Linked DNA regions of Kluyveromyces lactis. The protein of the gene in region 1 interacts with the protein of each later gene in a pairwise test. Links are inferred from orthologs where the notes say so. Each region holds a gene or a part of one and is shown on either strand. Other genes may lie near its edges.

What was found. The genes of interacting proteins can lie anywhere in the genome.
Region 2: the proteins of SEC22 (region 1) and UFE1 interact in binary tests that used the Saccharomyces cerevisiae proteins (3 or more experiments, as listed by UniProt). The link is inferred for Kluyveromyces lactis from reciprocal best matches to the Saccharomyces cerevisiae genes SEC22 and UFE1.

Annotation. Positions count from the first base shown.
Region 1 is NC_006042.1:1,885,071-1,887,812, reverse strand, and holds SEC22 (SNAP receptor SEC22), read left to right. Parts: upstream 1-1,440; coding exon 1,441-2,085; downstream 2,086-2,742. Other genes in the region: protein GET4, read left to right, coding at 1-317; polyphosphatase DDP1, read right to left, coding at 360-899; KLLA0_F20229g (uncharacterized protein), read left to right, coding at 2,418-2,742. UniProt on the Saccharomyces cerevisiae protein: Nonessential SNARE involved in targeting and fusion of ER-derived transport vesicles with the Golgi complex as well as Golgi-derived retrograde transport vesicles with the ER.
Region 2 is NC_006037.1:696,689-699,580, reverse strand, and holds UFE1 (Ufe1p), read left to right. Parts: upstream 1-1,402; coding exon 1,403-2,392; downstream 2,393-2,892. Other genes in the region: CDC21 (thymidylate synthase), read right to left, coding at 17-955; ribosome dissociation factor GTPase HBS1, read right to left, coding at 2,469-2,892. UniProt on the Saccharomyces cerevisiae protein: Syntaxin required for targeting and fusion of Golgi-derived retrograde transport vesicles with the ER.

The DNA of each region.
Region 1 (2,742 bases):
TGGAGGGATCTAAAGAACTTTTAAAACGGTTTACCAATCACAAGACAGATGTAAAATTTGAGTTAACAGAGAAAGGCCCATATAAGATTGATTATTTCTCATCGTGGGAATCGTTGAACTTTTTACAGTTGTTAATAATCGCATGTCAAACTCAAGAAACTATTCTTTTCCAGAATCTAAAATCACAATACTCAACTCTTGCCAACAAATACAACTCTGAGCTACAATTCTTGGGCCAAGAATACTTCGGTATCAAGGTCGAGAAACCAATCAACTTCTTGCAAGATATGATGTCTGGTTTCTTTGGAGGTAAATAATAATAGTCTTCGGTATAAACATACTCTATGTTATATATAATGCTAACTTTTCTTGATGCTACTTCTATTCAGAGCCTCAATGAGCTCTGGCCTCTTGGCACGGGTCAAGTTTTCTTTGGCCTGTTCGTAGGAGAACCATTGACGGTTTCTTGTCTTCACTTCAGGATAATTGTCCTCCAATTTAACATTAATCATCTCGAAGAAATGGAATTCGGACCTGGGAGGCCATTTGTTAACAGTTTCGTCATTCGAACTCTCGAATGCTTCCAAATCTGGGTTCCAGTCCTTTGGAGGTCTCATATCCTCAATGGAACCAAGTGCTTTCACTATATCGCCTGTGGCACCAGCTTCTTCCCAGGTCTCTCTTCTTGCAGCGGACTCAAAGTCAGGTTCATCACTTTCAATACCACCCTTTGGCAACACCCATCTCTTCTTATGAGCGGATGACTGGACCATTAAGACATTCTCTCGGCTTTCATCCAGTATTATACATCCTGCAACGAGTCTAGCACCAGTGACACTTGAATACAACTGATTCTCACGTCCTACTCTTGAGGTGTCGGTCTTGATAAAGTCTGACATCTTCGGTTCCTTAATACTATATATATAGACTGTTTCTCAGACCGATTTCATCAACAGGGTACACAAGACACATAGCTGTGACTTACCAGCTGTGGTCAGTTTGAAGGATACATGAACGTGCGGCCACGTATGAAATACACGTTGATCGGTGGTTCAATTGTGAATCTGACAGAGACTCTTGTTTCAGGGTAATTATTAAATAATACGTGTTAGGACCGAATCATTAAGCGCAACACCACAGAAGAAACAGCTGGGAAACCGTCTCTGGCAGATACGTTCTTCCATTCTCGTAGCCCTCATATGGTTAGGGCACCATGCTAGTCAGTATGGGGTTCATACTCCCACTTTTTAGCCTTGTATTTGTCCACGTTATTCGATTTAAACTCGTCTTTTCAACATGGAATGAAATCAATCGAATCAAAACCAAGTTTCCATCACTAATGAATGAAACTTCAGCAAATTAGAAAACGTATTGCCCTGTACCAAGCACTGAACGATCTTTCAGTTTTAGCAAGTGATTTACAAGGCAATAGGCACGGGCATGATTCGTTCTACGTTGATTTTCAGAGAAGATGGGTTACCATTGTGTGCCTCAGTGGATGATGACACTGATCCCAGTTTACAAGAGCAAAAGAAGAAGGTGAAGATCCTAATATCAAGATTCACTCCGACGTCAGCAAACGAGGCTACAGTGGAAAGTGGTGATTTCGAGATCCATTATATCAGATTGAACACCGTGGTCTATATTGTGGTCGCAGAAAGGAACTATCCACGTAATTTGGCATTCTCATACTTGGCAGATATACAACAAGAATTCGAACACAGTTACGGGGGACAACTCTCGAAATCGAACGTTAGACCGTATGAGTTCGTATCCTTCGACAACTTCTTACAAAAGACCAAGAAAGTTTACAACGACAAAAGAGTACAGGGGAACATGGACCAATTGAATCAGGATCTAAAAGGTGTCAAACAAATCATGACAAAAAACATCGAAGATCTATTGTACAGAGGTGATTCCTTGGATAAGATGAGTGATATGAGTGCGTCCCTAAGACAAGACGCTAAAAAGTACAGAGCCTCCGCACAAAAGATCAACTTCGACCTATTGATTAGCCAGTACGCGCCAATTGCGATCATAGCATTCTTTTTCGTATTCTTATTGTGGTGGATGTTCTTAAGATGAAGTATTCGCTGTACAGAAGTATCGATACACTTATGTACACTTAAATATGTATATAATTCCACCCTGTATAAACTTCAGCAAAAAAATGTACAAATATTGGCTCAGTATTGCTCTGAATGTGCCCTGACTAACGTATGTCTCATCATCATCAATACGCCTTTTTGCACTTGAACGATTCTTTTCTCAACATGAAAAACCTTTAAAAAGCAGATGATCTTCCTTAAGGGAAGAGGGAAATATCATGTAAGAAAGTAAAGTAAAATAGAGTTTACAAGTCGGTATACAACACGATAGATACATTGAGGTTATTGTAGTACTCGTGAATAGACAATATGGGAGACAATGATGCAGATGCCGTTGATTTCAGAGCTTTGATCGATGAGTTTCGATTTAGCAGGGTCTTGAACTCTAATCCGCAAACCAAGCAAATTTCATTATTAGGTACGATTAAGGGTCAGGATGCTATCGTGACTCTAGAGAAGACACACTTCCAGTTTGATAAAGTGGTGAACAATCCCAATTCGTCTACGTTGTCGTTGCACCAATGTGAATCTGAATATTCTTGTATGAATTCCATTCAGACGTTGAAACCAATAGCAAATAACGACATTTATTTCTGGGGGATGTCTGTGATGAAGCAGGACTTGGAGTTAAACC
Region 2 (2,892 bases), on another chromosome or scaffold:
CAATTATCCATGATCCTCAAACGCTCATCTTCATTTGAATCTTCCCATGAGGGTTATAGTCAGTTATTTCGAAGTCTTCGTATTTGAAATCGTCGATATCACTGACATTTCTCTTTATCTTCAATTTTGGGAAAGCTCTTGGCTCTCTGGCAATTTGTGTCCTTAATGCATCAACATGATCTTTATAAACATGCGCATCACCCAAAGTGTGAATAAATTCACCAGGTTCCATATCACAGACCATAGCAATCATCTTCGTCAGTAGCGCATACGACGCGATGTTAAAGGGTACTCCTAGACCCATATCACATGATCTCTGATAAAGTACACATGACAATCTTGGTTTGGCACCTTCTCCCTTGGGGAAACTGACGTAAAATTGCGAGAAAACATGGCATGGCGGTAAAGCCATCTTGGGGAAATCCGGAGGGTTCCATGCAGAAAGAATTATTCTTCTGTCGTATGGATTTGTCTTCAACTTATGAATAATCTCCTTCAACTGATCAACACCTTGACCACTATAATCATCATCACATGTCTTATATTCGGCCCCAAAATGTCTCCATTGGAACCCGTAAACTGGTCCTAAATCCCCCTCTCTTCTGTCAGTCAACCCAAGTGAGTCCAGGTACTCACGAGAACCGTTACCTTCCCATATCTTAACGCCTTGTTCTGATAATTTCTTCCCGTCTGTACATCCAGCAACAAACCATAAGAGCTCCAAAATAATACCTTTCGTAAACACTCTCTTCGTAGTGAGAAGCGGGAAAGTATCATTGCTCAAATTAAACCGTAACTGTGGAGGCGCAAAAAGGGAATAAGTCCCTGTACCAGTTCTATCTGGTCTGAATTCTCCCTCATTGATAATCCTTTCACATAAATCCAAATACTGCTGTTCTTCCGCGTTAACAGCCTCAAGCTTAACTCTCTTCACGTTTTCATCGCTCAGCGTCATGGTTGACAAATGTTGGTTGTTTAATGATCCGATAAAACGCCAAAGGAGTCGAAGGATGGTTGAAGTAAGATAGAGTTTAAACTAGAGATGGCCTTTAACTCTTAAAAGCCGTAGTCTGATTCTTAACGCGTTTTCGTGTTGTGGGAATTTTTCAATGGCCGGGTAATGATGGTGAAACAATGTCACGTGCTACCTAAATTCTTAATTCCATCCTCGATGAAGCTTTGGTCTGGCAAACGAATGCGAATCAAATTTAACCAAAGGTTACTTTGGTTAAGGAGGTACCGTTCTACTGGTAATTATACTGTCTATTAACTGTCCAATTAGAGGCAACTATCGTGTGTGTTTACCCTATCTAATCTGGGACTATAAGCGTTCCTTGTTCAAGCTTTTCTATGTTGAGTAAGTGTCAAAAAGAATATATACAAAGAAAGTGACTACCTTAATATGAGTAATAGAACTGAGCTCTTCAAAAAGTACATGCAAGTGATTGCAGAGACTCAGGGAATTGATGATGCTAGGAACGAATTGAATAATACGAAAGCGAGAGAGGATAGAGAAAAGGTGAAGGAAAAGTTTAGTGTAAAGGATACTTTTGTAAAAGAAAGTAAGCAGTTGATGAAACATATTATGGAATTCCAGATAGTGATAAGGCAATTGACTCCCAGGTACGAAAGTGCTACTGACATGACTGATCAGGAGAAAGATGATTTTGATACAGAGAGCAAACTTCAATTACAGCAATATTTCGAGAAATATAAGCAATTGGAATCGTATGAAAGACAGAGACAAGAAATGATGAAAGAAAAGTTAGAGAAATGGTCCGCAACCGTACCATTTTTCTCTAGATCAATTGACGATGTATCCAGTTTCCACAAGGTGAATAATCAATTTCGTATGGGTATATTACAGTCATTGAATATGTGGCTCATGAAGATTTCAGATAGGTTGTCAACCATTCAGCAGACACGATTATCCAGACAAAGACATATCGAAGCCATTGATTTCAATGCTCAATTACACTTACCTGAAGAAATTTCTGTATCACAGTCTCCTATGATAACGACAACTGTTGAAGAAATCAAACAGTACGAGGAAACGATGTCCAAACTCTCTTCAGAACAATTACAAATCTTGGCCACAGAGCATGAAGAACTTCTTAATTTGAAGAACGAAGAATTACAAAAAGCAGAGGCACTACGGAGAACCGCAGTAGATATTGCATCGCTACAGAGTGAATTGGCTACACATTTGCAGGTTCAAACACAAAATATTAATACATTGCTCGATAATCAGACTGACGTGGAGATGGAAATGGAAAAAGGTAACAGACAGTTGAAACAGGCCAACAGGAAAGGAGATAGGCTCGCTAACATGGTCATGTGGTTTGCTATAATTTGTGGACTGCTATTGTTATTCTTCGATTACATAAATTAAGGTTAATTCGTTTCTCTCTGTTGCAATTGCTTACTACACGGTGATACGTAATGGTGTATATATGTACGGTAAGTTTTTAATAATCTAAAGATTTGATCAACGCAGCTCCGATTGTTCTTCCCTCCTTTCTTAGAACCACCCTTCCTAACTTCTTATTTTGCTCGAATGTTAGCATTGGGATTCTTCTTTTTTTCTCCACCAGCTCGATCTCAACTATGGCAGCTTGTTGAGAACCCAAATGCTTCACTTTCTTTTTTAAAACCTTAGATGGATTACTTTTATCGACAGTACAACACAATTTTTTGATTCTACAAGGTTGTTCTGTAGCACCTCTAAAGAGCATGAGCGAGGTACCAGGTAATAACGGTCTATCCAGCCTGAAAGTCAAGAGTCTTGAGGTAAATTCTTGGGAGCTTGGGATATCAAATCCAACGATAGATGCCAAATCACCACCTTGAATATCTTCAGGGAAGGCGTTATGCAACTTCAATTGGACAAAG